Linked DNA regions of Cricetulus griseus. The protein of the gene in region 5 interacts with the protein of the main gene of each other region in a pairwise test. Links are inferred from orthologs where the notes say so. Each region holds a gene or a part of one and is shown on either strand. Other genes may lie near its edges. The genes, in order: Stx11, Mid2, leukocyte receptor cluster member 1 homolog, Necab2, Kifc3, Usp2 and KAT8 regulatory NSL complex subunit 1.

What was found.
Region 1: the proteins of Kifc3 (region 5) and Stx11 interact in binary tests that used the Homo sapiens proteins (3 or more experiments, as listed by UniProt). The link is inferred for Cricetulus griseus from reciprocal best matches to the Homo sapiens genes KIFC3 and STX11.
Region 2: the proteins of Kifc3 (region 5) and Mid2 interact in binary tests that used the Homo sapiens proteins (3 or more experiments, as listed by UniProt). The two-hybrid records come from large-scale screens. The link is inferred for Cricetulus griseus from reciprocal best matches to the Homo sapiens genes KIFC3 and MID2.
Region 3: the proteins of Kifc3 (region 5) and leukocyte receptor cluster member 1 homolog interact in binary tests that used the Homo sapiens proteins (3 or more experiments, as listed by UniProt). The two-hybrid records come from large-scale screens. The link is inferred for Cricetulus griseus from reciprocal best matches to the Homo sapiens genes KIFC3 and LENG1.
Region 4: the proteins of Kifc3 (region 5) and Necab2 interact in binary tests that used the Homo sapiens proteins (3 or more experiments, as listed by UniProt). The two-hybrid records come from large-scale screens. The link is inferred for Cricetulus griseus from reciprocal best matches to the Homo sapiens genes KIFC3 and NECAB2.
Region 6: the proteins of Kifc3 (region 5) and Usp2 interact in binary tests that used the Homo sapiens proteins (3 or more experiments, as listed by UniProt). The two-hybrid records come from large-scale screens. The link is inferred for Cricetulus griseus from reciprocal best matches to the Homo sapiens genes KIFC3 and USP2.
Region 7: the proteins of Kifc3 (region 5) and KAT8 regulatory NSL complex subunit 1 interact in binary tests that used the Homo sapiens proteins (3 or more experiments, as listed by UniProt). The two-hybrid records come from large-scale screens. The link is inferred for Cricetulus griseus from reciprocal best matches to the Homo sapiens genes KIFC3 and KANSL1.

What each region holds. Positions count from the first base shown.
Region 1 is NC_048595.1:275,905,864-275,910,145, reverse strand, and holds the start of Stx11 (syntaxin-11), read right to left. Parts: upstream 2,801-4,282; 5' UTR 2,461-2,800; intron 1-2,460. UniProt on the Homo sapiens protein: SNARE that acts to regulate protein transport between late endosomes and the trans-Golgi network.
Region 2 is NC_048604.1:39,570,413-39,574,119, forward strand, and holds part of Mid2 (probable E3 ubiquitin-protein ligase MID2), read right to left. Parts: intron 3,675-3,707; coding exon 3,513-3,674; intron 2,043-3,512; coding exon 1,835-2,042; intron 1,467-1,834; coding exon 1,064-1,466; 3' UTR 1-1,063. UniProt on the Homo sapiens protein: E3 ubiquitin ligase that plays a role in microtubule stabilization. Mediates the 'Lys-48'-linked polyubiquitination of LRRK2 to drive its localization to microtubules and its proteasomal degradation in neurons.
Region 3 is NC_048602.1:21,581,440-21,585,768, forward strand, and holds the start of leukocyte receptor cluster member 1 homolog, read right to left. Parts: upstream 2,905-4,329; 5' UTR 2,836-2,904; coding exon 2,704-2,835; intron 861-2,703; coding exon 681-860; intron 200-680; coding exon 1-199. Other genes in the region: Tmc4 (transmembrane channel-like protein 4), read right to left, coding at 3,313-3,381, 3,497-3,575, 4,145-4,300.
Region 4 is NC_048596.1:196,080,092-196,084,425, reverse strand, and holds the start of Necab2 (N-terminal EF-hand calcium-binding protein 2), read right to left. Parts: upstream 2,897-4,334; coding exon 2,687-2,896; intron 788-2,686; exon of another isoform or gene 1-787. Other genes in the region: Osgin1 (oxidative stress-induced growth inhibitor 1), read right to left, coding at 4,079-4,334. UniProt on the Homo sapiens protein: May act as a signaling scaffold protein that senses intracellular calcium.
Region 5 is NC_048596.1:171,341,678-171,346,164, forward strand, and holds the start of Kifc3 (kinesin-like protein KIFC3), read right to left. Parts: upstream 2,808-4,487; 5' UTR 2,681-2,807; intron 1-2,680. UniProt on the Homo sapiens protein: Minus-end microtubule-dependent motor protein. Involved in apically targeted transport. Required for zonula adherens maintenance.
Region 6 is NC_048597.1:155,786,570-155,790,276, reverse strand, and holds part of Usp2 (ubiquitin carboxyl-terminal hydrolase 2), read right to left. Parts: intron 1,869-3,707; coding exon 1,818-1,868; intron 989-1,817; coding exon 865-988; intron 1-864. UniProt on the Homo sapiens protein: Hydrolase that deubiquitinates polyubiquitinated target proteins such as MDM2, MDM4 and CCND1. Isoform 1 and isoform 4 possess both ubiquitin-specific peptidase and isopeptidase activities.
Region 7 is NC_048600.1:117,451,302-117,455,008, forward strand, and holds part of KAT8 regulatory NSL complex subunit 1, read right to left. Parts: intron 2,228-3,707; 5' UTR 2,183-2,227; intron 936-2,182; 5' UTR 853-935; coding exon 1-852. UniProt on the Homo sapiens protein: Non-catalytic component of the NSL histone acetyltransferase complex, a multiprotein complex that mediates histone H4 acetylation at 'Lys-5'- and 'Lys-8' (H4K5ac and H4K8ac) at transcription start sites and promotes transcription initiation.

The DNA.
Region 1 (4,282 bases), on a different chromosome or scaffold from region 5:
GTCACCTACCCCTTCCAGTTCCTGGGCAACCCTCATCTATAGTCAGGTTCATTGTTTAAAAAAAAACCTCTTTATACCATCATAAGTCAAACCCGTGCCAAAGCTCAGGAACACAATGCTTAACACACTTTATCTTTTATTTCTTATAGAAGACATGACTCTGCAGCTGCAGAGGGAGAGATGAAATGTAGAGATTAAAGCTGTTTTAAGTTGAGCAGTTGTCCTTTACTACTTAGCTACCTCAGAGGACTGGAATGTTTGGTCCTCCTTAATCCTTAGGGATCCTGCACAAGAGATGCTGATGAATACTTGACTCCTACTTATCTTGCTCCCTGTACACATATATTTAAGATAAGGTTTAAATTCATAAATGATTCACAGTAAGAGATAAATGAGAATTAATAGGAGAACAATTAACAATATAGCATCATTAATTCGGTATGAATGCACCCCCTCTCTTGAAGTATCTTACTGGCAGGTGCGGTGGCACACACTTTTACTATCAACACTCAGGAGGTAGAAGCAGGCAGCTATTCATGAATTCTATGTTAGTCTGGTCTACATAGTGAATTCCAGGCACAGGATAAACAGTGAGATCATGTCTCAAAATAAATCAAAGTGTATTACTATCCCTGGAATTTTCTACTTAATGTATCAGAACTTAGGTAACTAAAGTCATGAAAGTCAAGTCAACCCCTCAGATGAGGAGCAACAATTGTATGCACCCATGAGCAGAAGGTTGCTTCGATCTAGTGGTCTACAGTTAGGAACCACCCATTAATAGTCTTTTTAAAAGGACACATAACTAAGAGTGGCCACAACCGCCTAGGAGTGATAACAGACTGCATTTACCATTCATTACACAGCTACTAAGTAACATGAAACATGGTTAATTCAAACACTTAAAAGCCATGTTCACTAATGTGCCTTTAAACTACATATTGAATGAAAACCAGGCTGCCCACAAAGACAAGTAGGTGGGTGGAACTCAAGCCTTCTCTTGTTGTCCCAGCAATGTTCCAGGACACTCTGAAACTCAAGGCTTCAACTCACCCCCTGCCGGGGCACCTCCTTTGTGTATAGATTTCTCATAGCACACATCTCATGATGTTGGATTTCCCCAAGTCTGCTCAGCTATGGTCCTAGCTGCCAGGATAGCATTGTGTCCATGGTCGTATACATGGAACTTGGTGAAGAGGCTGGAGCAGACCAGAGCCTTGTAACTGCTGTCTAGGGCTGATATCAGCTCAGTTAGGGTACAGTTATTCCTGTCTCTAGATAGGTACAGTTATTCGTGTCCCTTCCTTCTGGATAGGGAAGTCCATTTCTGAGAGCCACTATTCAGACACATGAGACTCAACATCTTAATGTCTGGCTCCAGCAACCATTGAACTTCTTCAAAAGCTTCTAAATGTTTCTTAGAGCACTAATGTGGTAAAAGTAAACTATCTGAAATATTTTTAGTTTCAGAATGACTTACAATCACTCCATAAAATGTCCCATTCCTACCAAGCAGTGAAAAGAACAACCAAATGGTTATTGGATAATGAAATTAATTTTCTGTTGAGCTTCTGCGGCAAAGCACGTGATTCTAAGGGCTATCTCAGATCAGCCTAGTGACCCTGGCTGGCATGTTGTCCCATCAGACGCTTTAGGAAACTGAAAACTTGAATAGTTACTTCCTAGGCCGCCTGCCCCAGTTTGACAGCACCGGTCTCATTTGCTGGTCTTACTCTAAGCACAGGGATCCAACATCACTTTTCAAAGGCTTATTAACAAAGTCTCGCAATTAGAGCAGCCTTGTGACTCATTTTTGGATACCCGTGTAGAAACAACAGCTCCTCCCTCTGCTGAGAAATGGCTCGAACAAGTGTGAGAGGGCCACAGGAAGTAAAGCACAGGTCTCAGCTGGTGTTCGTGGAGCCCAGAAGCTGACAGAATTCCGTAGCGTGTTTCTCTAAGCAAAGTTATCAGGTCTCTCTCCTAAAAACAACTCCTCAGTGTCTTCTGTGGGAGCTGTTACGAGGAGGTATCGATGTTCCTGTATTTCCTGGCTCCTGAGTCATACTGTCAAGTTCAAGTCAAGAAGTGCCGGTTCTGATGTGTTTGAGAAAGTGGCAACCAAACCATTCAATAAGACAGAATAAAACAAAACTCAACCTCTCGATTGAAAACAAAAGTTGTCTCGGGTACCTTTATAAAGTCAGTCTACAGTCGTCATTTCTGAAGCACTTCTGATGAAGCATTATACTCTCGAACATTTAAAAAGCTTTCGGCTCTACATGAGAAACCCAAAGCCTCATCTAGAGGCGCAGAGAGAACCACACCCCAAAACCACCTGCTGCTGTTCAGCATCCCATCCTGGGTCAGCGCGATCCCTCCAACCCAGCCAACCCCCTGCCCACGTCCTCGATGCCGAAAAAGTTAGAGAGCCTAGTGGACTCGTGCGACAAAACGAACCGTGATCCGGTGGGGCGCTGATCCAGCGACGGGACGCCCGGAGGAAACCGGGTGCGCGTGTCCCGGCGGCCCTGCTCCCTGCGCTTCTTGCCGGCTGTGCTTCTCAGGCGCGGAGTGAGATCTGCGCCACCCCGACCGCATCTGGACGCCACTGTCCCCGCCCCCGGCGCTCTGAGGCCGCACAGCTGGGGACCAGGCCCCGCCCCGGAGACGTCCTCCGCTAGGCGCGCGGCTTCCTTACCCTACTGCAGTCGTCACGCTGCAGGTTGCCGGGAGCCTAGGCACGAGCCACCTTCCCTGCCTAAGCTCCGCCAGATGCTGCGGGGTCAGGGGTGGGGGTGGGGAGCGTGGACCACCCGGGAACTTTCTCTGTCTTCCCTCCCGCTCTGGGATGGAGAGATGGACAGGGCGGGATCCGTCGGACTTCCCCCGGGGAAACCCCACCAACGCAGATGACATTTGCAGTCCAGAACATTTCCGAGGCTAGGATGCTAGAAACCGTTTCTGGGCGTGGGTGTGGCTGCGCAAACCAGGACACTAGCGAAGGCTTAACCGGAGGCTAGAGCTCACGGAGACACTGAGCCCCGCCTTCTACCAGCCCTTTCCCACCTGCTGTCAGTGGGGCGCCCATAGGAATATTCCTGGCACCCTACTGGAGACTCAGAAACAGAAAGGGGGGTGCTCGGTGAGGGGGTGGAAAACAGATTGACAAACGAAGTGAAAACTAACCATCAAAAGGGGCGCATTGGTGCCAGGAAGCCACCAAAAGAGCTCGGAGTGCTCAAAGCCGGAAGGATTTCAGGGACAAGATAGTACGAGAAAGTAACTGAAGTTATCCATCTAATGTGAATAGATGGCTGACAGTCTCTCAGAAGTTATCCATCTAATGTGAATAGATGGCTAACAATCTCTCAGGCAGAGCAATTTCAGGTAACTGAGGCAGAAACTCCATTCTCATGGAAACGACGCGTGTCTCTGCACTCTGGGAAGGGACTGCCCCCAACAAAGGATAGTAGGAAGGGGTGGGGGCTAGTTTTTACCACACAGAGCTGGCATGCACTTCACCCAGTGCTCAAGGCCAGAAAGAACACTGGGGATGTGTGCTCTGAAAATGCTGATGGGAGCCGGCCAGAGGTGGTGCTTGCCTTTGATCCCAGCACTCCGGGAGGCAGAGGCAGGATGGCCTCTGTGAGTCTACAAAGCTACACAGAGAAACCTTGTCTCGAAAATAAATAAATAAATAAATAAATAAATAAATATAAATATGTTGGTGGAGATGGAACTTTACTCCTGAGGCTCTTCTCCTCCACACCCCAGTCTTATCATGAAGGGCATACCAAATGAAGTCCAGAAACCCTTTAAGTCTCCCTAGCTACCGGCCTGGGAGGTGGCTCCGGGGTAAAGTGATTGCCCTTTAGCTTGAGGATCTAAGTTAGATTCCCTAGAACCCCCAGAAAAATATTGTGCCTGCTGATCCATGCCAAACTTTGGTAAGGTGAGGATAGGCACACACCTGGGGCTGCCTGGCCAGCCAGGCTTGAATCATTGGTGAGCTCCCCACCAGTAGGAGACCTGGTTTCAAAGGAGGTGAATGATATCCTGACCGTGAGTCTTAGGTTGCCTCTGGCCTCCACAAGCACAAATTCAGGCATTTGCAACCCTCCGTCAAATGCCTGACCAATATTACCCATACCTGTCAAAAGGTCATAAACAAACAAAGGGAAAAGTTAAACTGCCACAGAAGAAGGCAACCGGGAAACTAAAAATGGTCTCTTGGGGCGTGGGAAGTGGGAGATGGAGCTAAACAAAAACAAAGAGTCTA
Region 2 (3,707 bases), on a different chromosome or scaffold from region 5:
CTATTGATGAAAACAGCATTTCAGGAGAGCTTCATCTGAAAATACAAGTACATTTGGACTCATATAGTTGTTGAACCTGTAACACTATTCTTACTGATCAAGTAAGGCGAATTCTGAGGAACCTCCATTATGCAACTCTATTTTTTAGCGTAAGTCTAGTAACTATGTATTTGAGAGTAACAAAACTATATTTCTTTGAAATATTCTATGACAATTTTTAATAATTCAAATAAATCTCCTCTATTAAATAATATCAATGAAATTATGCTACACAGCACACTAGACCAGAATCAATTTTCAATGTAGCAGTAGCATCTCTTAAGCAATCTTGTCCACAGAGCTCTCCTAATCTAACCAAGAGCTCTTCTCACTCCCTGTGTCTTGATTGCATGTGTTTTTATGTGTGACAGGAGGGGGTCTGGGAAGAAAGGCTAAAAGGTAAGAAGAGAAAAACACCAGTCTACTGTGATGTTTCATCTAGGGGATAAGAATGGACAGTATAATTCATTTTCCTTTTCAATATATCTCTCACTTAAATGAACAAATTAAGGTTTATCGTATATATGTAATAGATAAAATGATCTATGCCATTTTGCTCATAAAATGAATTCAGTCATTTTATATATTATATATACACATGTATGATATTCTCATAACACCTTGATTGTTAGTTTATTAAAAAGTGACAAATATGATAATTTGAAACTGTGCAAATTCCATCTGGTCCACCTAGCCACTGCTAGAAAGGCTAATTCTTTCCAATTTCATTTATACTCTCAAACCACTGGGAATTTTTAATTTCCCAATGATGACAGAGATATTCTCTAAAATTCTTCCCCAATGTCATGAACCCAGACTATTCAGATCATTTGTTCTGAGTAACTCAATACATGAATCCAAACATAAGCTTTAATGCACAAAAAATTAAATCTACAATATCTAGTTATTTAGGGTGCTTCCAATGAACTGTATTTTGTATCTCACATATGGAACACTAATGGCGGCTCAAGAGGGGAAGAAATGCTGAAGTGGAGAGCCAGTGAATTACATGCTCTCTTGCCATTTAATGGCAAGCTTTCATCCCAGACACATAGGGGGATTCTTTAGGCCTGCAGTTGCATTCCTGCTGCTCAGGGTAATCAATAAAATCTGGGGCAGGCAAGCCAGACATGATCATGAGGGATTTGTTCCAGATTGTGAATGTTGGACAAACTGGAAGAATGAAGGTCACATCAAAAGTGTGGAGATGGAGCGAGTTAGCTGGGTCATAGAAAGACAGCATGTTGTTGTCATAATCCAAGAGGACACCTAGACGCTTCAGCTGTGGGGGCACATCCACAAGCATTTCCTTGTTGTTATGTCTCACCACGAAGTTACTGTTGCATCGGGAGAAGACCCAGGAAGAGGCATTCTTGCCAATCCACTCATTCTTTGGAGCTGATTTGTAGGCGATACCAATTGCATACCTGAGACAGTGGAGGAGAAGACAGAAAAGTATTTATGGATGATATGAGTTGTGTTAGACATTATTTAGGACCTACGAGTGACTCACTGTGCTTCTTCCTTAAAACATTTATATTTACAGGCATAATGCTAATTATCATCAGATCTTGTAAAGCCAGCAATTAGAGTGATACAGCACTTCAGCTCCTAGCCCACTATATTTTCCATGATTTTTATCTTTTAAAAGCTGGCCAAGTTTTCTAGCACTGGTGCCTATCATATATCTCTTAACCTTGACTTATTGGTATTTTAGCTGTGCGGTAGAATTGAATCTCCTAGGAACCTAACAGCAGAGAAGCTGGGACAAGGAAAGAAAAAAATAGCCACTCACCATGTTGAAGAACCCATGACTACCTCCCAGTAGTGGCAGCCACTGTCAATGAATATATTTCCTGCTGCCCCATAACACCCAGTGCCACTAAATCTCTCTGGGGTATGGCTTTTCTTCAGAGAGCTTTCATCCTTCTCCATCTGCAATCCATCATTGGAGATCTTCAACTTCTTGTGAGTCATTTTGGGATCTAGTTTAAAGGGTTGGCCTGAAAAAAAGTAGAGGAAAGGGGGAAAGCATGATCAAGGATTTAAGAACTGTGCCTTTCCCTCCGGGACCATCATTAGCAGAGGATCCTCAACATGACGGTGATCCTTCGCTAAGTGCAGGTCAGCTGGAGTTTGGATTATATTAAGGAAGCAGGCAAGATGGCACACTTTGCAATTAAGTCAGAATACAAGTCATTCCTCCCCTAAAATAACCTTCATTCAGGCATTATTTTCCATCTGTGTGAAAAATGTGGGGCTCTCATATGAGTGCTATGCTGGAAGCCAGAGTCCAAGCACATGGGAGCTAGTAAAGTATTCCCATCATATGTTATGAAACTAAAAGGGACCACTCAAAGTCTCACATCCTCAAATATGTTTGGTACTTTGGTTTATTTCAGTGAGTGGGTGGGGATGTGGGTAGATTTTTTAAAAGAGTGTTGCAATGTTTGAGGTAGAAAAGCTTGTGTTAATGAGGCCATTGATCACTAAAGAAAAACTGAGAAGAGCTCAGCAACCGGAGATGTTGGCTTTCTAATTGGAGAGTGCGTGTCATTAGTCGACTTTGTTACAGTGACTGCTCCATGGTCGATGATGAAAGATAACATGTGCTTTGCTGCAGAAACTCATAACCCTATGCCAAAAACACTGTCCCAGGCCCCCGGTGCTGGTTAGGGCAAGAGATTTAGTACACAATATGCCTCTGTAACAGACACTGTGTGCTAATACAGTATCCATTACTTATTTTTTTCTCTCTCTCTCACTCAGTCTTCCAGCCTTCCTTGCTGCTAGGGACAGCTAATAAGAAGGACACTGAAGTCAAAGAGACTGGAAGAAATTTCCAGTTAAGCTTCTGTTTCCTAATTAAAAGATTACCAACTTTTCCCTTCTTCCTAGTAAGGGAACTATGACATCAGCAGTTGCACTGGCCATCTTTCGACCTTGTGGGTAAACCAATGCACAAAGAAGGAGCTCCAACCTTCCATGAGATCTCAGAGCTGCTATACTAGCCATGATCAGGCTGCCCTCAAACTTCTTGCTATGTATGTTTAAACACAAACAAACTAACTAAAACAACTAGTAACTTAAGCTACTTGGAAATACTTGTTAAACTGTGTCAGTTGTGACCGAGAACATTCCTAACCGATAGGGCTTCTCTATGGTAGAGCTTTGTAGATCGTCATAAGAAACAACTCTTTAACTGAATTTTTCTCCCAAGCATAGGACCCAGGGGTGGAAGGCAGAGAAAAACCCTTCCCTAACTTCTTTCTAGGCCACAAGCTATTCTATATATCTTAGGCCACAAACATCCATGGGTACCAACAAATCCCATAGACCAAGCATAACAGTAAAGCTCCTCCACTCAGAGCCACTGCTCTCACACATTATAATGGGGGAGTCTCTCAGGCTAACTGTCCTCCCTGGCACAGAGAGGAAAGCTGGTCTTTCCTTCTAGAATCTCCAAAACGTACTGTTTGTTTTTAGCCTGGTGGGTTCACTGTTCCGGCTGCCCGCTTGATTTATGGCTTTCACAATAAAGATGTAGCGTGTCCCACTCTGGAGTCCATGCACTGTGTAATGGTTCTGTTTAATGTTGGGCACAATCATCCAGCTATCCACTGAATTGTACAGGCCTGTGAAGTGGAGAAGACAAAGGCATCAGTCAA
Region 3 (4,329 bases), on a different chromosome or scaffold from region 5:
TGCTGTGCCTTTTCTTTCCCAGGTGCTTCTGCATGTCCCTCAAGGGGTCCAACCGGTTCTTGATCTTCTCGTCTGGGCTTGGGCCTGGAGGGCAGCCCCCTTGCCTTGGGGGGAGCTGGTACCAAGGAGGTTGCGTTTGAGCCTCTGCTGCGCTCTGGCCCAAATACGTCAGGATGCCTAGTGCTTTCTCTTGCCTCTCCTGTGGGGGCAAGAAAACAAAATAGTCTTCCCAAGTCCCTCTGGGAGCCCTAGATATGGCATGTGGCAGTAGGGAAACCCAGGGCCTGAGTTCCCAGTGAGGCAGGGGCTGGTGGGTATTCAACAAGGGAAATCACAGACCAGGGGCCAGCTACGCAAAAGTGCTGATGGCTAATCTGCAGGGGGCGTCTAAGGAAAAACTGCAGCAAAGCAGAGGAGTGGTTTCAGTGGGATGCAGGAGAGCCACAGTACAGTTCACAATGTGAGAAGCACAAGCGCCATCTGGCGACAGATGCTGACGACTAGCATTCAGGAGGCCAGCGCCGGAGGGGGTTGTGAGCTGGAGGACAGCCTGTCTGTGTAGTTGAGGTGTCATCTCAAAATAAACTAGCTAAGGTTAACATAAGAAACAGCTGTTAGTCACAGCTGGTAGCGCCCCACCCCACCCCACCGAAATCAGCCAACAGAGGCCAGCAGCTTACCTTCTCCTGTCGCTTCTCTTCTTCATGCTCTTTATTGCCTCTGGGCACTCCTTTCCCTTCTTCCAGCAGCTCCCTAAACAGGTCCACAGGGCCAGAACTTGGAGCGCCTGCCTCTGCTGCTTCCAGCTCAGGGCGTGAGTTCTGGTGCCTGGCTTTCTTCCGTAGGAATTCTGTTCGGGCCTGTGAAGAAAGTTATAGGCAGGACATTCAGAACGTAGAAGTGCTGGGGGCTCCAAGGAAGGGCCATGAGCCGGCTGGTGGTGACACACGCCTCTAATCCCAGCACTCAGGAGGAAGAAAGAGGCAGGTGGATTTCTGTGGGTTCGAGGCCAGCCTGTCTACAGAGTCCAGGGCAGGCAAGGCTACATAGAGAGAAGCTATCTGGAAAAAGGTTTAAAAAAAAAAAAAAATTGTGTGGGGGGGGCGGGGGTAGAGGTACTGGGAGCCAGAAAAGACACCATTTCTAATTTGAAGTGGAGAATGGGGTTTTTGTTTGGTTTGGCTTTTGAGATAAGGTTTCTCTGTAAAACAGTCCTGGCTGTCCTGGAACTCAGTCTGTAGACCAGGCTGGCCTCCAACTCACAGAGAATCTGCCTGCCTCTACCTCCCAAGTGCTGGGATTCAAGGCATGCGACACCACCACCCGACGAGAATGGTTGTTTTTAAACAGTTAACTGGATTACCAGGGATATTTGGGGAGATCCCAGCCTAAAACAGAAGGGTTTCCACAGCCTGGAGTCATGCAAGAAAAACAGCTATCAAAAACCACTCAGCTAGGGGCTGGAGAGATGGCTCAGCGGTGAAGAGCACTGACTGTTCTTCCAGAGGACCTGAGTTCAATTCCTGACAACCACCTTGAATGAGATCTGGTGCCCTCTGCTGGCATGTGGGCAGAAGACTGTATACATAATAAATAAAATCTAAAAAAACAAAAACTACTCAGCTATAAGGTATAGAGGTGGCTTGTTCACCCATAGAGCCCCTGCTTAGTGTATGCCCAGCACACACATGTACAAACTCCCAAATACAGCTTATTAGGAAGCCAAACACAGTTTCTGGACAAAAGATCTGAACCCCAGGTGTGGCTCCAGGTCAGCATCCCAAACACATTAGTGATGGCCCGTGTCACTCCCATCCCAGGTAGGTTCTGCATTGCCACCAACGCCCGGCTACTTCCGAAATTTTAAATACCCACACTACTTCATGATCAGATTGGCCAAGGGACTTAATTGTAAACTAACATGATTGAGTAATTACTAACGCCTGTGCATGCATGCGTGGTCTTCAATCCCACATTCAGGAGGCAGAGGCAAGAGATCTCAGAGCTCGAGACCAACCTGGTCTACATAGCCAGTTCCAGGGCAGCCCGGGCTACATAGACCCTGTTTCAAAGAAAGCCTCTTTGGTGGCGCACGCCTTTAATCCCAGCACTCGGGAGGCAGAGGCAGGGGCAGGGGGATCTCTGTGAGTTCGAGCCCTGTCTCCAGAGTGAGTGCCAGGACAGCCTCCAAAGCAATACAGAGAAACCCCTGTGTCGAAAAATAAAAACAAACAAACAAAAAACCGAAAGAAAGAAGAAAAAAAAGAGAGAGAGAGAGCAAGCCAGCCTCTGGGTGTGTTTGGGGGAGCAATGGTGGAGAAAGAAGAGGTCTAACGGAGTGCACTCCGGCTTGCCCGCCCTTTGCCCTCCTCGTTGAAGCCTTTGCAACTCCAAGTCGCTCTAAGAGGGTCGTGTCAAGTCTAGCGCTCTGCAGGAGGGGGGGCACGCATACAGTGGGTGCTCAGTAATTAACTTGTGCGGACGATCTCCAAAGTGATCGGGGCAGCCGTCCCACTCCGACGTGCTAGCCTGCGGTCACTTCAGCCACACCAGGGGGGGGGGGGGAAGGGGATCCAGGACGGTTTCGCGCAAGTCAGCAAAGGATTTGCGGAGAAGCGTCAGCAAGCACAGACCCGCGGCTGCCACCGAGTCACCCACCGACCCAGCGAGGCCCGCCTCGCTTCCGGGCCAGCCCAGGCTCACCTCCTGCTGGGCGAGCAGCACCCTCCGCTCACGCTCCTTCTCCTCCTCCCGCGCCCGGGCCTCATCGCGCCGCACGCGGGCGACGTTGTCCTTGTTTCGGACGTGCCAGCTCTTCTTGGGCAAGATATTCATGGTCCCCCCGCCGACCTCCGAGCCAGCGGGCCCCCGACTCCCACACTTCCGATTGGCGCGAGGGTGCCCCCGCCCCGTGGCCCCACCCTCGCCTGTGCATTGGTTCCCGGCCAGACGCCACGCCCACTTATGACCCTATCCAGGGGTGATTGGCTAAGAGGCCCTCCATCACAGCCAATCCCAAACGTTTGCCACCCCCGGGTCGCTCCACCCCGGACGCCGCCGTGTAGGGCTGATGCTGCCCCGCCTTGTCTAGCCCTCTGCTCGCAGACACAACCCGGGACCCGGATCAGGCCCCTCCCTAAACCCTGTCCCCAGCTTCAGGACCCGGCTTCAAAATGCAAAGCTGTTGTTTATTAATAACGGTGCAACTGAGAGTGTGGCACTGGGGTGGGTGGGGTGGGGTGGGGTGCGGAGGACTCGATCCAGAGACCACAGGGTACCAGATAGGGAGGTGTAACCACGGGTCTCGGGTGGTCAGATGGCTCCGTTCGCTGAGCTCAGAGCCACAGCTCGCTGGGCTAGGAAGACTTTATTCTTCGCTTCCTGAGGGCAAGAAAAAAGAAAGGGGGTGGAAGTGAGGCAGGCCTACTCTACACCCTACACCCGAGTCCTTCCCAGGTTCCCAGGGGGCCCTGGCCGGGGAAGCACCATGGCTCACCGTCTCTATCTGGCGTTTGAGCTCGGAAATGAGGCGTCCGTAAGAGTTAGCCAGGGCTATTGTAAACACCATCAGGATGCTAAGGAAGACAGGGATGAAAGTTACTTCAGAAAAATAAAATAAATACACACACACACACACACACACACCCCTTCATCATATGGCTCCTTAGAAACCAGGATCACGCCCGGTGCTGGTGGCACACACCTTTAATCCCAGCCCTAAGGGAGGCAGAGGCAGGCGGATCTCTGTGAGTTCGAGACCACCCTGGTCTACAAGAGGGAGTGCCAGGACAATCTCCAAAGCCACAGAGAAACCCTGTCTCGAACCCCCCCCCAAAAAAGAAACCAGGATCAGGACCCCCAAGGGCCACTGGCTTCTGCTTCAGACCAGGAGGAGTCCATACCTCTGCCCTCCTCCCTCTGACCAGGGGTCTAGACTGCAGACCTCCTTTAGACCCAGTGTTCAAACCCAGACTTCTTTTCCTTAGACCCGGGAATCCAGACCCCAAACCAGATCTAGGGAGACCCCAGTTGTCTTCCATGCCATAGGTACCCAGGCAGCAGCCCTCCTCTCTAGCAGCCCCCAACCCCCCAACACTAAACCACACATATCCAAACTCCGACCATAAAGTCTGGAACCACTTACCAAGAGAGGATCAGAAGGGGTACAGCAAAAGCCTGCGTCCCCAGAAAGTAGAGAAAGTTCTGGGCGGACTGAGGGAGGGTTTCGATGGACTCCGGGATGTGGACCCAAATGGACATCTTCCCTTGGAATGGACCGCACAGCTTAGAAGGTGGGATCCTGCGGGCAGAGACACACTGGGCTCGATC
Region 4 (4,334 bases), about 25 Mb from region 5:
AGGGTAGAGAGACTGCATCGGGCAGAGGCCTTCCCCACACTACTTCAGAAGCCACCACTCCCTCTCCCTCTGCTCTGCCAGCCTGCCCACGGCTGCTGACAGACACGCACATTCCTGCTGCACGCTCACAAACACCCACGTGTATCTCTGCAGGTGTACACTCACTCATTCCTCTAGACTCCCCCATTGTTGAGCACCCAGCTGCACCCAGCCATGCTCAGAACCCCCTGAGAGCTCCGTGCCTTCCCACCATTCGCTTTTCAGGACCCTCCTCCCCTTGCTCTGGCTTGCCTGGGTCCCTTCTGAAGGAGGTGATCTTGAAGCCTGGTGACAAAATCAGCCCACAGGAAGTATGGCGTCATTATGAGATGGGGGAGGCAGGCAGGAACGTTCTGGTTGCAACTAGCAGGGATGGGATGGGGAACAGACCAAACCTGGGACCTGCACTTTGAGACAAAGTCACTCCATGGTTTGCTGACATCTGAATCCTTCAAGGTCCTTTAATGACAGGTGCTGGGTGACCAGGGTCAAGAGGCTGTTTCTGGTATTTGCAGGGCACTTCCAAAAGCCTCTCAGTCCGGGCCATAACCCAGGCAGGTGGACCAGCAGCTCCATCAGACCAACGTGTCTGCTAAGGCCTTCTAACTCACAGAGGGATTTGATGTCCAACCCTGAACCTATTCAGTCAGGCTTAACTTTTAATCAGCTCCCTGTGGGGACTGATGTCCTAGCACTGAGATGGTCCCAGGATCCTGGAGGAATTGGCTCCCTTTATCCAGAAGGAAACTTCCAGCCCCCCCTCCTCCTCTCTCTCTCTCTCTCTCTCTCTCTCTCTCTCTCTCTCTCTCTCTCTCTCTCTCTCTTTCTCTCTCTCTCTCTGTTTTCCGAGACTCAGGAAGGTTTGATAGGGATCTGTTAGGCCAGGCAGGAAGTGCCACCCCCTGGAGTCTCTTTGAGTCCAAGGACAGATGGCTCTGCTCACCTGCACCCCACAAGCAATAGGACAAGCAAGGGAAATGTGTATTCTCAGGGTACTCCCAGACCCCAAAAGGCCTGGGTGTGGAAATGACTTGGTTGATGTGCCCCCAACTGACACCAAGAAAGGTGGCTCCTGGAACCAGCGTGACTGACACCCTCCCCCTACTGCTTACCCCACTTCACAGATGAAGAAATAGAGGCTCAGCCAGTACACAGCAGCAAGCGCAGAGGGAAGGGCTGGACAGGGCTCCCCTGAAAGAGGGCCAAGCTGCCACCTCCACTCTGGACTCTGCCTCAATCCTTCTGTGTGTGTGCATGTGGTGTGTGTGTGTGTGTGTGTGTGTGTGTGTGTGTGTGTGTGTGTGTGTGTGTGTGTGTTCATAAAGGCACTAGGACACCCATCTCTGAAACCCTCCTGCCCAGACAGATGTATGGGCTCTGAGATCTAGCAAGGGAAGCAAAGTGGGGAGAGGGTTTCTAGTCCCCTGACACTTGTAGGGGTGTGTGCCACACACAAACACACGCACATGCACTTACACACTCAAAAACACCTTGACTCTCCTAGAACCTCATAATATGTAAAGGTACCCGCTCGGACCAGTTCCATCCCCCAGAAGCCCCTCCATAGCCAGGCCACCAGCCCTCTCCCACTCATGTGACTCCCCCACTCTGCAGCGGTGAAGGAGCTAGGTGTGGTGCTTGAGGAGGTAGGTGGGGTAAGGAGTGAGTCTGGGGTCCAAGAGTCAATGGAAAGTACAGGAAGGGGAGGGTGCCAGGAGAGAGTGAAGGACAACAGCTCCGGGTGGAGCTGGGGGAGGGGTGAGGGCCCCTACGTCCGGGCATGGTTCTGATTTTATGGAAAGAGAGGTGGGGAAGGGGCTTCACTCGCAAAGTGGACAGCACGGGGGGTTGGGGGTGCTCAGCTTCCTTAGCAGAGAGTGAAGGGGTGGTTGAGGGGCTGTGTGTGGTCTCAGATAAGTAACACTGCAGGGAAGAATCGCGAAGAGAGAGGAGAGGGCTGGAAGTGCCCAGGGGCTCTTGTCCCAGTCATAGGGATTCAAGTGAGAGGGTTTGGTTAGGGCCAAAAGAGAGCTGCCAGACTTAATGGCAGCTCTAGGGGTCCGGTCTATGGGATTCGGGGATGCAGGAATGTAAAGGGAGGGAATGCAGGGGGTCGTGGAGTTCCAAGAGGGACAGGCTCCCCAGCCGCGATGAGAGAGGAATAGGGTCCGGGCTGTGGGATAAGTGGAAGCGGGAATATGGAGGGAGGGGCCTGAGGAAGAGGTTCCTGGTCCGGGTGTGGGGCTGGGGGCTCGAGGTCCCCTCTAGGAGGAGGGTCCCGGCTATGGGATGTGGGGATCTAAGGAAGTGGATGAAAAAGATGGAGGTGAGGATCGTACAGTCAGGGGGAGTTGGGGGTCCTGGGGGTCCCTGTGGGAAGAAGGGGTCCCAGCTATGGGATGTAGAGATGTGGAAATAAGGGAAAGTGGAGGGAGGGAATGGAGGGGATCGTGCGATCTGGATTGGGGGACAGGCGCCTCAGCGGCAATGAGAGTTGGGGGTTTGCGCTTGGGGTCTCCACGTCGAGGAGGGTCCCAGCTAAGGGATGTGGGGATGTGGGAACGTGCAGGATAGAGGAGAGGGTCCTCGGGTCCCGGTGCAGACTGGCACCCAGCCGCGCTGGGCGGAGGGTCCAGCGCATACTCACGTCCAGGATGACGGCCGTGCCCCCGCGTGGCACGGCGGGACCGGGGTTGGGGTCCGTGACGGGAATGTCGGGGACGAGCGGTGCGCGGGGCTCGCCCATCCTGGCGCCCACCCAGCGCAGCAGCCCGCCCAGCGCGCGGCCCTGCGGCGGCGGCTCCCGGAGCAGCCTGTGCGCGCCGGCCCTGCACAGGCGCGCCGCCCGCTCGCACATCTCGCCCGCCGACCCCCGCCCGGCCGCGCCCCCGCGCGCCCCCTGCCCGCGCCCGCCCGCGAGCGCCGCTCCCGCCGCCGGCCCGCGGCCCGGACACCGCGGGGACCGCCAGTGCCGGGGGGTGGGGGGGGCTCCCCGGACCCCGAGCCACGTGCTCCGTGCTCGCCGCCCCCACCCCGCCGGCCAAGAGCGGAGGCAGGGGACTGCCTGCGGGGGGTGCGAGGTCCCGCGGCCGGACCCTGGCACGGTCCCAGAGGGGGATGTCCTCGTACACACAGGACTGCGGACGGGTGTGGAGGAGGGTGGGAGCCCCCGGGATTGTGCCCCAGTCCCCACCAGGGTCCCGCTGACCCCGGGTCCCCTCCCCCGTGGTGCTAGTGTCCGGCGATCCCTGAGCGCCCTCTGCCGGCCGGTCCTCCCCGCGTCCCTTCCTCCCCGTGTCCCTTCCTCCCCTCCTCCACCCGCGGACGCCAGTTACCCTGAAGGCAGAGCAAGTTGTGGAGAATTGTGCAAGTGACTCAGACTTAAGAGACCTGGGCTGGACACCAGTCTGTGCAAAGGCCCTGAGGCAGGTAACAGGGAGGTGAGACTTGGAGACTGACAAGCAGACCAGGAACTACAGGGTGGACAGGGCTGCAAAGGGCTTCTGGAAGCCCCATTCCCTGCCCAGACTCTCCAGTCTGTAGCACTGTTCCCACAACTGCTCCACCTTGGGCCTCCATCCCTTCTTCTCCGGGAGCTATAGATCTCATCCAGGGGCCCAGTATGGGGTCTGTTTGTCCAGCCACTCCCCAAGCACAGACTTCTCAGGCACAGTGGAGGCACTGTTGGTTTTATTATGGACCTGATTCTGAAAGGTTCCACCTGGAGTCCTCCTAGTTGGGCACTCAGCTGGCCCCATGATTCCAGCACACACTGACAGCTTCAAGGGGGCCCAGGCCCAGGCCCAGGTGTCTCTGGCCTATGGCTACTGCTCTCACTTTGAGCCTTGACTAGCCTGAGGATGGGTAGCCTGTGTTCCCCATGCCTCTGGGCCAGACAGTCCATCCATAAGGCTCAAGTCTTCATCTCCTGCTGGGGAGACTGGTCCCCCCCATTGGGAAATCTTTAGATGGACTCATGTCCCACCGGGCTATGATAAGCCCCTCCTCTTCAGGCCTGGTGTCAGGGCATCTACAGACGTTAAGGTGGTTTCCTGGTCTCCTTCCTCAGCAGGGAGCTGGCAGCAGCCAAGGCCCCACCCTGGACAAACCTCACAAAGTTGTCCCCAGCCAGTGGCCCCAGGGCATACAGGCCCTCCTGGTGAGTGCTCTCATAGGTGAAGGGGTCCACATCAATGGGATTCCTCTTGGGGCTCAGTGGCTGATCTGGGTCTATGACCAAGTCAGCACCTGCCCTGGGGAGGTAGGAAAGGTTGGGGTGGGAGCCAATGAGGACC
Region 5 (4,487 bases):
ACTGACCATCTCCTGCCAGGCAGCAAGAACATGTGTTGAACTGGGTCTGTCTCTCTCACCCTCTCTGGCTCCCTGCGAGTGAGAGGCATGCATGCATGCATGTGCGCACGCGCGCGCGCGCGCGCGCACACGCACACACACACACACCCCAAAGCCAGGAAAGGAGGACCGGCTAGCCACTAAGACTCAGAACTAAAGGCCACGACTGCTACAGGTAAGGACGAAATCAGCAAGGTTGACCAAGATGGGAGACAGTATTAAGTAAGGACAAGGCTGGGGTGAAGAGGGCGTGGAGGGGTGGGAACAGTAACTGGAAGAGGGAGGAGGTCAGAGAGGTGGCAGGAGCTGCCTATGTCATGCACAGAGTCCTCAGAAGAAGCTGGGCAGATAAGTAGGATAGTCAGGTGGTCATGGCAAAGCCAAAGAAAGCCCTAGAGAATTCTGGGTGGGGGGTTATACCTACCATCCCAGCACTCAAAGGTTGCAGGTTCTAGGCCAGCCTAGGCTGCAAAGCAAGTTCAAATTGGCTCAAGGAATTGGAGAGGGCCTAGAAGGCAGCTGTTTTCTTCTTTGGGGGAAGTTTAGCGACGATGGTTAGGAGAGGAACTGAGACAGGGGAGAGGTGGCATTGTGGGGTAGACAGAGGTGCAGGAACAAAGCATCTAGAAGCAAGGTGGGGAGAAAAGAAAGAGTCTGGGGTCAGAGACTGATGCTCACGGGGTCAAGTACTGAAGACAGTGGGGTCGTGGTCTCTTCCTTCCTTGACTGAAGACAATGTGGGGTACACAATGAGAGGGGGACAGGAATGTGGGACAAAGGGTAAGGAAGATGCTGACCCATATAAGTAGCCTCACAGCGCTGATGCCTTGAGATGTGTGTAAGGGGGAAGAAGCAAGAAGAATGGATACAAATGTCCTCTCCAGGCTGACTGGCACAGAGCTGGGCATAGAGCCAACCCTATAGCCAACGGGGGATGATGAGAGGACCGTCCTCTGCAGGTGCTCCTACAGGGGAGACCACGTAGGACAGAGGATTGATTCTAGGGGACATCAGCTCAGTCTAGGAGGTAGAGGCTGGAGACCATATTTCTGTGCCAGCAGGACGGGAAGTTGGAGAGGCAGCCTGAAGAAAGAGGAAGGGTGTGTGCTAGATCCCCAAGAGGAAAAGGCAGCTGAATTTAGCAGCTGGAAACCCTGGTGTGAGGTCAGGAATATCAGGGAATCTCAATCAAGCCCAGGGTTCTACACCGAGACAGCAGCGCAGGCTCTCCTACACAGGTGTCTTATCTGGGGTCCTGGAGCCTCTACTAATCTGGAATTCATGGAGTAGATCTATGAGAGTGGTCCAGGCCTTGGCCCTGCCACCTATGAGAATTAATCACCTAGTCTTTGTCTTATCACCTCCATGTATAAAATGGTGAGAGCTGCACTTCATAGGACCGGCATGAACATCAGACAATACATGTGTGAAGTGTACAAAGAGCTCAGAATGCTATCTTTTGGTGTACTGTCCCATTAGTGGGTGAATGCAGAGGCACATTGGGGGAGGGGTATGTGTCTCTCTGGGTTTAGGCCAGGATGGTAGAGCTGCCTTCCTCCTGCTCTAGACCAGAGACAGTGCAAAGACTAGGGGTATACTTCATAGTCGCTTATACACCACTGCTGGAGATAGCCTGGTTCTCCTGGGTGAGCATTTTGGGGTGGCTAGACTGGGCTAGGGTTTCCCTGGCACACAGAACATATTCTGGGTAATCCAGATGTCAAATTCCCTGCTCCCTGGAACCCATCCGGACAGCAGAACTCACCACCCCAAATCCTGAAGTCCAGCCCCACAAATACACAGAACCATTTTGGGGCTGCATTCCTAGCAAATGACTCTCTCTGGCCAAGGAGACGCCCCTTTATGAAGGGCACAGGGGAAAAAATCCTACCAGGCCAGAAAGGGCACTCGCCCAGTCTGGGGCAGAAGGACACTAAGGAAGGTGAAGCTAGGGGTAGTTCCAATGCCCAAGCTTGACATATGCATTAAAGAGGGTGGGATGGGGTGACAAATGTACTTAAGAATTAAAATCCAGTTTCCTCTTTAAACTGTCTCAGGACTGGGCCTTTCACTGTGTCGGCCAGAATTCCGTTCTTACTTGCAGTAGGAAGGCTGAAAGGGGACAGACAGCTTCTGGGCTCCCCCTCCCTGCCGGGATTCCTCAGCTGCAGCTGTCAATGACTTGATTCGTCTGGGCTTGTGAGGGTTATCTCCGATGCCTTTCCTCCTAACCTAGGGACTGGCGCACCCCACCTTGGGCCTGGCCAGAGAAAGCAACTACCCAGGGACCCAGAGGGAGGGCCAAACTGCAGCCTTCCTGGGAGCGACCCATGCAGGGGAAGGGGGCGCGCTGGCTGACACGCAGCTCCCAGGTAGGCTCTGCACATTCCCCACCAATGAGATCCAAAGCGAGTCCAGGCAGCGCGACCCCAAAGGCCGTGCCACCCTCAAGCCCAGCGAGATTCTTCAGCTGGAGGATGCAACGGGACCCCACGCACAGCCGGGTCTCTCTCGGGCCCGGACGCCGCGCCCTCCGTAGATCGGGATAGAGGGGTCCCCGGGCAGGGTGGGCGCGGTGCCCACCAGACGCGCTAGGGGAGCCGGTCCCAACCCGTCCTAGCCTGCCCGGACCCCGACTCACCGGCCTAGCGGAGACAGGATCACAGCGTCGCCGCAGAGCCCAGGGCTCGGCCAGCTACGGCCCGCCCTCGCGAGGCTGCTCCACGCCGCCGCAGCTGCCGCCGCCTCCTCCTCCTCGGCCCGCCCCGCGCCCGCCCCTCCCGCACTTTCCACAGGAAATGATTAACTCAGGCCGCGGCGCGTTTCCATGGCAACGGGCTCGGGAGGGGGCACGCTCACTCTCGCGCACGCGCCTGCCCGGGGCGCATGCCCCTTCTACTCCTACCCCCAACACAGGCTGATAAAACTTCTGCGCTCTCCCTCTGGTGCACGCGCCCCAGCACACCTGCCTGCGCCTTTGGAGAAGGCTCACGCCAAAGTGCCTGCACACACCGCAGTGCCTGCACACTTGCCCTTACCCAGCCTGCAGGAACGCAGGCCTCGCCTTCCCACCCAGGTGTTAACATTTGGTTACACTCACCCTCAAATGGTTGGCACTCTGCCCCTAATCCAGGTGCAGAAGTTTCACACACTCCAGCTAAGATTCACACACATCCGGCACACAGAATAACATTTTAAGAATGCATTTTTTTCATTCTAGCACACTCACGCATGCTCTTGCACACGAGATCAAACATATACACACGTTGACCTGTTCTGGTACACGGGCATGCACTCTCTCTGTCTTGGTCCTGCCTGCCATACTGTCTCTCCAGCTGCGCCCCTGCTCCCCAGCCAATGAGCATCTTCTTGAGAAGCCTGCTTGGGGTTCCTTAAGGTAACACATTCCCTTAAGCTCCAGCCAAACAGCTCAGAGTGCAACAGCCCCCAATCTGCCTTAAGCGCTCCTCCTGGAACGCCTGGGAGCCTCAGAAGAAGCCTGGGGGAGAGCAGGCCCAGCCAGGCAAGAGAGACAGCTGACCCAGAGGAACCACTCTGTTCTTTGTCTCCCAAACAGAGAAGCATTTATTTCAGCCACAGTGTGCCCACTCGACGGTGCGGAAGGAGAAAGTGGTGCAGGAGCCTAACCAGCAGAAGCTGATGATCCCCAGAGAACCTCCGAAGCAAGCAGCAAGCATGGGGGGTCTGCCCCTTCTGGCTTGGCAAGGATGGCTTATGAGGGAACAGTTCAGATGAGCTGTTTCCTGCTTCTGCTGCTGAGACATGCGACTGGGAGTCAAGAATCTGAACCAAGACAGGCACAAGGGTTTAGGCCCCAGCTGGAAGCATGCATTGTCTCCTTTATTGGAGGCTCTTTTCATAGGGTAGGGGGTTGTCTGTCATTAAAGTTTGAGTATAAAAGCAGAAACATTGTCTTGCTTAAGGGTTGGGACACTGACATTAACTTCAGCTTCCTTCTAGCAAAGTCAAAGTCAAGGTTCTTTTTTTAAATTAATAAAAACATTTATTGTTCCCTTTTCTCCAGTTACAAAAGTAATGGATGTTCATTGTAACCATAATCCCACCCACTGGGAATAAATGCTGCCAACACTTTATTTAGTACAGCCTTTCCCCTCTGTGCACATAATGGACACCATTTATTCAGAGTGAGCATAGTGCCAGGCACTGTGCTGAGCTCTTTAGACACAAGATCCTGTCTGACACTGTTCAGTCCGGGAACTTGTTCAAGAGAGGAAAGGTTCCTTGGCAAACCCAGAATGTGTCAGAGCTGAGGCTCCAAGTCCAGCAGAGATGTAAACCTATGTACATACATACATGGAGTGCCTCTAAATGAACATAAGAAGCACCAGCCATGGCAAAACAAAGATGGAGAATTAGGAGGAAGCATTCTTAAAATTCCAGCACGGCTCTAGCTTGAAATGTGAAAA
Region 6 (3,707 bases), on a different chromosome or scaffold from region 5:
GTGGAGGAAAGGTGAGATATTTGCTTTTGTAAAAAGCAATTTTATTTTAGTGTGTGTGTGTGTGTGTGTATGTGTGTGTGTGTGTGTGTGTGTGTGTGTGTATGTATGTATGTATGTATGCTTGTGAGTGCCCAAGGAGGCCAGAAGAGGGTGCTGGACCCCTGGAACTAAACTTACAGGTTGTTGTAAGTTGCCAGACATGGGTTCTGGGAATCAAATATGGTCCTCTGTAAGACCAGATGGCTCGCTCAACTACTGAGCCATCTTTCCAGTCCCAGGATTGTGTACACACACACACACACACACACACACACACACACACACACACACACACTGTACACACACACACACACACACACACACACACACACCACACACACACACACACATACACACAAAACCTTGAGCTAGGTATGGTAGTGCACACTCATGAACCCAAGTTAAGGTAGAAGGATCAGGAGTTCAAGGCCACCTTGGGCTACATGAGACTGTCTCAAAAAAAAAAAAAAAAAAAAAAAAAAGACAACTATCCAACCAACCCATGGATTAATCAAACAATGAACAAACAAGATGGAACCCTGAAACTGGAGTCAGGCATGGTGTTGTATACCTGTAATCCCAACGCTTGGGAGGCTTAAGCAAGAGAATCTAGTGCTTGGGTCCAACCAAGTTTGGATCCAGTTCTGGGTCCAGAATCTGTTGTTTGAGACACGGCCTTACTGTGTAATGAATCCCAACGAATGACAGGCAAAGAAAGAAAAATAGAGGGGTGGAGCATATCCAAAACACAGCTATCAGTCCAGCCTGATACAAGAGCACAGAGCTGGGAATGGAAGCGGGCCACGCCCACACGGGGCTCCTCACCTTCCATGAGGGCTGTGTGTGCGTTGCTGGTGTGGCCGAGGTCCCGCATGTATAGCCTTTGAAGGCAGTAATCTCTCAACTCTCGGGTGTTGCTCAGGCACTGAAGAATTGAGTTCATGAAGCACTACAAGAGACAATCTGAGCAATTAGTGGATGTGCAGAGTTCTAAGTTTTCTACAAGCTGTTGATTCCCAGCTAATGGCATTATGGAGATGTGGCAGCAACTTGAAGAAATGGGGCCCAGTGGGAACACTTCATGTATTGGGGGACTTGCTTCTGAAGAGGCCTAGAGGGCCCCAGCCTCTCCTCTCTTTTTGCATCCTGGCCATGAGGTGAATGGTTTTGTTTGCTGCACATGTACTACCTTGTCACAAGCCCAAAGCAACAGAGCCAATAAGTCAGCCATGAACTAAAACAGCCCAGTAAACTTACTGTCATTTTAAGTTGATTTATCTTGTCATAGGGGCAGAAAGCTGGAACACGGTGATGGAGTTAAGACCCTTACCCAGGACTTCTATTACTTGCAACCAAAGGCTCTCTGTTTCATCTATCCAAAAAGGTTCCTCTTTCCTGAGTGGAGGCAGGGAGGAGCAAGGCAAGTCCCCACTATGGGGAAAGGCCATATAATTGGTTATTTCCTATCGAGGCATACAAAAGGGTGTGGGCACACTGGTCAGAAGTGGGTGGGAAGTGCTGGGATCCAGGAGGAAGGTCCAGGAGAGCAGCAAGCTGGCAGTGACAAGGGCAACTTCCTTTTAGTGCTTCCTGCTGGGGGCGGGTGAGACAGAGCCCAGCAATTCACTGAAACACCAGCCAGGAAGGGCAGGTGCGGACTGCCCTATAGGATAGGTCGTCAGCTGGAGCCAGGAGGGGACTCTATTGGATTATTCCAGTCAGGAGAGGAGGGCATGGCCTCTACTCTCCTGGAAAAGAGTGAGTTGGGAGGAACTTACCGTGTTCCCAAGGTTTCGAAGACCAGCCAGACCCTGGGCACTCTTTGAATTCTGTAAGCAAAGAATATGTGTCATATATAGAGGCTCAGAGCCTGGGTCTGTACAGCTCTCTATTCAACACCCTTGCCCTCACCACTGGAGTGCTCTTTTCTTCTTCTTTGAGACAGGGTTTCTCAGTGTAGCCCTGACTGTCTTGAAACTCACTCTGTAGACCAGGCTGGCCTTGAACTCACAGGGATCCACCTACCTCTAGCTCCTGAGTTCTGGGATTAAAGGTGTATGCCACTACCGCCTGGTAGACTGTTCTCTTTTCAACCTTAGTCTATGGGTCTTGGAGAACAGAGCATGGAAGAATGCCTACTTTCAACACACAAACTATTCTTCAGGGCGTCACTTTTTTATGGTCTCACTGGGTAGCATAGTGAACTTGTGGCAATCCTCCTGCTCAGCCTCCTGAGTTCTGGGATTTCAGGTGTGAGCTACTACGCCTGGCTTCTCTATATTCTTTCTCTGCTACAGTGGAGACTAGATATTAAAACTAGAGGCTATGGATTCATAAATCCAGGAATATAAATTTCTTGCTGTAAGAAACTGAAAGTCTAGGTCAGGCATGGTGAGGAATGCCTACAATTCCAGCACTTGGTAAATGGAGGCAGGGGGATTAGGGATTCAAGGTCAGCCTCGGCTACATTCACAGGTGAACCCAAAGGCTAGTCTGAGCTATACCAAACAACAAGAAAAGGTTTCACATGCCAAATCCAGGTTCTATTTCATATGACCTATATTTGTACTAGACGTTCCAAGTATAAAGGAACCATCATAATCGGCACTTTAAGGGGGTTGAGAAAGGTTAAATGACAAACCATTGCAATTGAGTTTCGATCTTCAGCTGGGAAAAATTCAAGCTGCCTGCCATTCGGAGTTGCCAGAGACAGGTGGAATTCCTTCCAGCTGAACTCAGCTTCTAAGGGCTGAGCCAAGGCAGGAGGATCCTACCCGCCCGCCAGCCCTCCCGCCTCAGGTTTCAACATCCCAACTAGCCACTGGCTGGAAACACTTGCTGTGACATGTGCCGCCAAGCTGAGGAAGCACCTGGCTGAAGGTGCCACTCTAGTCTTTGCTGTGGAGGCTGGTGAGGGGGCTGGAGAGAGAACAGGTGCGAGATTGTAGCCTCTGAGCATTATTTGTCAAGGTCTCTTAGCTAACCCTGGGCACACCACCTGGGAATCAGAAAACCTTCAGGCTCAAAGGGTTAAAGAAACAGTGCATGAGTTTGTGGATGAGTCTGCCACCCCCTCTCTTAGAAAGGGGGCCTCGGAGAAGGCAACTCTGGAGCAACACTGGCTGGGGCATGCGTGGGGCCAGCTCAACCCTCATCAGAACAGGAGCCTGAAATAACTCAGCTAAAATTACTCATGCTGTGTGCTGACAGCCTAGGAGGCTGTCAGCGGCTCAAAGCCCATGAGACTGTCAGCTTCAAGGGGGGAGGGAGGAGCAGGCCAAGGGAGGGCTTTTCTCAAGAAGTCCCAGGCCCATCCCATAAGTAAGAGGATCCCTCCCCTGGTCAGGTCAGTTGTCAGGTCCAGTTCTAGCAGGTAGAGAAGAAAGCACACTCAGAAGAGAGACATGGCTTAAACCTTCAGCTGGAGGGTCCGCCTGCTGGCAGCAGGTAGTGTGTAGCATCCTCCATTGACTGCCCTGGCCTGTATTGCTAACCCTAGGTTGCCCCAAATAAAATGTGAATCCCACCACTGGGTGTCATTGTTGACTGGGCTTGTCTAGTGTTTGTAAGGTCCTGGGTTCAACCCCTGGTAGTGGCAAAGTGGGAATTCTGCCTTGCTGACAACAGCAGTGGGCCCTATAAGGGGGCTACCACAGAGACAGTCCCTG
Region 7 (3,707 bases), on a different chromosome or scaffold from region 5:
TATCCTTGTGTCAGAGTCTAAAGCACTGAAAAGAATGGAAGACAGTGGAGACTTTTTTACCTCTAACTTAACATTTGTCAAGTTAGAGCTGGAGTCTGTACTAGGTGATAGCCTACTGCTTCCTTGAAGTGCCGGCTGTTCCATGGAATTAACAGAAGATTTGTTTGCAGCGCTATTATTGCTATATAGAGTTGTGTGTTCTATATCAAGGCTTCTATGTGGAAGAGTGCAATTGGTCATACCCCCCTTCAAGTTCCCAGAGTCAGATCCCCCCACTTCACCTCCCTGCAGAGCAGATGAAGTGAGAGACCGTTTTCCCCCATTGAGGGAACTGGAATTGTCATGATCCGAATGTGTTGAACTTTTAGTCAATTTCTTAGCCAACCCATTTACAGGCGCTTGTGGCAGAGCTGTCTGACCACTTGTATTCATGGTTCTAAGGTTTTCTAAGGAAAACTCCAAAACTGGCTGTCTCCCCAACAGCTCAGCTCGGAGTTCATAGGACTGAGATAAAAGAGGATGAGATTTAAGGACTGTCTGCTTGCTGAAAACCCCTTGTAATTTCAAAGACTCTTTTGCGGGAACAGATGTTACATCAGAGCAGAGATAAGATGCCACCAATGGTTGCAGCTTTCCCAGGTCTTCCTTGGTAGGATTATTTCGGAAGTCTAGACCGGAATCCTCTGCAGCAATGGCTTTTCTTTTGGTTCCGTTGGCAGAAATAAGGATATTGGCGCTGCCGTTATTTTCGGCACTGCCAGGGGACAAGGTGGAGGATGGGGGAGCCAGTTTGAACCGGATGTGGTGTGCTTCAGCTGCTGCGTCAGTGAGAGCGGGCGCCATCGCAGCCATTCAGCACAGAGAGACAGGAAGTCCAGCCTCTTCCAGTGCTGAGGCCAGCTCCACGGCCCCTTACTGCCTCCCCTGAGAACAAACTGAAAGAGATAGAGAGAAAGGAAGTCAGAAATACAAGTGAATTCAAAAACAACACACATTTTCAATAGAAGCACCACTTGAGGCTATTGTCCAAACTCTGCCTCCAAATAAAGAAAATTAACTAAGGAACCATTCTACAGCCTTCAGATGTCTTTCACCTAGGGGAAAGAGAGGAACACAATGCTTTCACAAGAAAATAATTTTACCCTTCGTGTCACTTGTTAACCACAAGCTGAATATTGTCAAAATAGAAGTCCCATTCTGAAATAATCACAAATGGTTACAATTACCTGCACTTAAAACCTCTTTGCCAGGTGGTGGTGGCACATGTCTTTATTCCCAGCACTCTGGAGGCAGAGGCAGGAGGATCTAGGTTTGAGGTCAGCCTGATCTACAGAATGAGTTCCAGGAAAGCCAGAACCACAAAGAGAAACCCTATCTTGAAAAACCAAGGGGGGGAGGGGGCTCTTTAAATGTTAAATTACTAGATTTAATATGACCATATAAGAGGAATATCCAGTAATAGAAAAACATGTTATTCTCATTAAAAGGTTTATGCCAAAATCTCATGGATTTGTGTTACTTTTCTGGCCAGGAATCCAGTTCTCATTAGCTCATTCCTTACAAATTTAGATTGTTACTACCAGGCTAACTACATCACACTGTAACATCAATTTGCTTCATTAATTTTCTTCTTTCATATAGCACATAGTGTCTTTTCTACTGGGCTATTTTTCAGAGTAAATCTGTGTCTTTAAATTAATAGCCCAACATAACTTTCTCCCCCTTCCCCCAAAACACTTCAAAGGAATAGCTACAGTTACCTTACTATTCACTCCTCTAGAACTTAGTTTCCATTCCTATCACACTCCAGGAAAATTAACCAGTAATATTATTATCCAGTTATTATTAAATCTACAGTCCTATTCTGACTTTCCCATAAGTATTAAGTAATATGGACTTTCTTGAAATATTCTTTCCTGATATTCTTGGCATTATAATTCTATTCTATTCTTCCTTTCAAACCTCCTAAAATGTTGGTACCACCCAAGATCCCTTCCTTCTGCCTTCTCTCTCATTTCCTTAGCAACAACTACTAGTAAGAGGACCACTAACTCTCAGAAAAAAATTCTGAGCTGCACTAATTAACTTTCTAATCTGATCATCCTTGGAAACTCAGAACTCTCTTTCTTCTTTCAATAAACCTTTTCCTTTCTCACCCTGCCTCATTTTCTTAATGACATACCTCAATTAACTGCTGCTTCTTCATTCCTGATTCATCTATCTGGGTCTGGAAGCAAAGGGAAATCTATATAAAGGACTGTTTCAACTATCCCTAAAAGCCCAATCTCTGTACCTCTAGGGATCTTAATACATACCCCCCCCCACACACACACTACTGCTGCTGCTATGTGTGTACACTTGTACTTCCAGGCAAACATATGCCTACAGTGTGAGTGTGGCCAGAGAACTTCAGTAATATTAAAACATCATTTGCTTTTTTTAAAAAAAAATGTTTATTGGAGGCTAGAGAGAGGACTCAGCAGTTAAGAGTAATGTCTGCTCTTCCAGAGGACCAGGGTTCAATTCCCAGCATTCACATGGCAGCTCACAACGTAACTCCAGCTCCAGGAGTTTTGACACCTTCACACAGACATACAGGCAAAATATTAATGCACATAATAATAAAATTGTTAAAAAAAAAACAAAAAAAATATTTTTGTGTGGGGGTTGTGGATTCCACAGTACAGCTGTGTAAGTCAGAGGGCAATGTGAAGGATCTGGTTCTCTCGTTGGAACCTAGGAATGGAACTCAGGCCATTAAGTGCCTTAGGTCCACTGAGCCATCTCTGCTGGCCCTGCCTTTTACAAACTGTTAACATTTGCAATGTGGGTCCAAAAACAGAGATAAGCAAAACTGCTGGTACATACCAAGACAATAGCACCAAACAATGAAAGTAGTCAAAGTATTCCTCACTTGCAGCTTAAAAAAAATGCCAATTACATTTAGGATGTTCTTGGGCCTGTTAGATAGCCCAGCAAGTAAAGATGCCTGCCATCAAACCTGAACATCTGGGTTTAACCAATTCCTTCAAGTTGTCCTGATTTCCACACATGTACTACAGCATGAGTCTACATACAGTCACAAAATTAACTATTAGTTTATTTTTAAAAGATGTTCTTGATGACACAAGTAAACATTATGGATTTTGCTAATTTTAAAACTTTTGAATTTCCCAGATAATTACATCATCTATCCCTCCCGCTCCTCTCTCCAAACCCTCTCATATATCCCTCCTTGGTCTTCTTTAATTGTCTGTGTTGAAAGGAATGAGTACAAAAATTCAGCTTCATGAAGTCTCAGAAAAAATTATCACATTTAAAAATGTTTGTTTGTGAATATTTTGTCTGCATGTGTATCAGTGCTGTGACTGGTGCCTGAGGAATTCACAAGAGGGCATTGGTTCCTCTAGAACTGAAGTTTAAGACGGTAGTGAACCACTATATGAGCACTGGAAATAGAATCCCAGTCCTCTGGAAGAGTAATCAGTGCTCTCAACCACCAACCCACCCCTCCAGTCCCCGAACTATTAAGTTGCCAAGCTAAGCCAGCCTTCTTGGAATGCCATCTTTTTATAAAGATTCATTTTTATGTATGAATGTTTTCCTCCATATAGGCATGTATATGTGTATGTGCACCTCATGCATGACTCATGCCAGACAGAGGTCAGAAGACAACAAGGAATCCCTTGGAATCAGATCATTCAGTT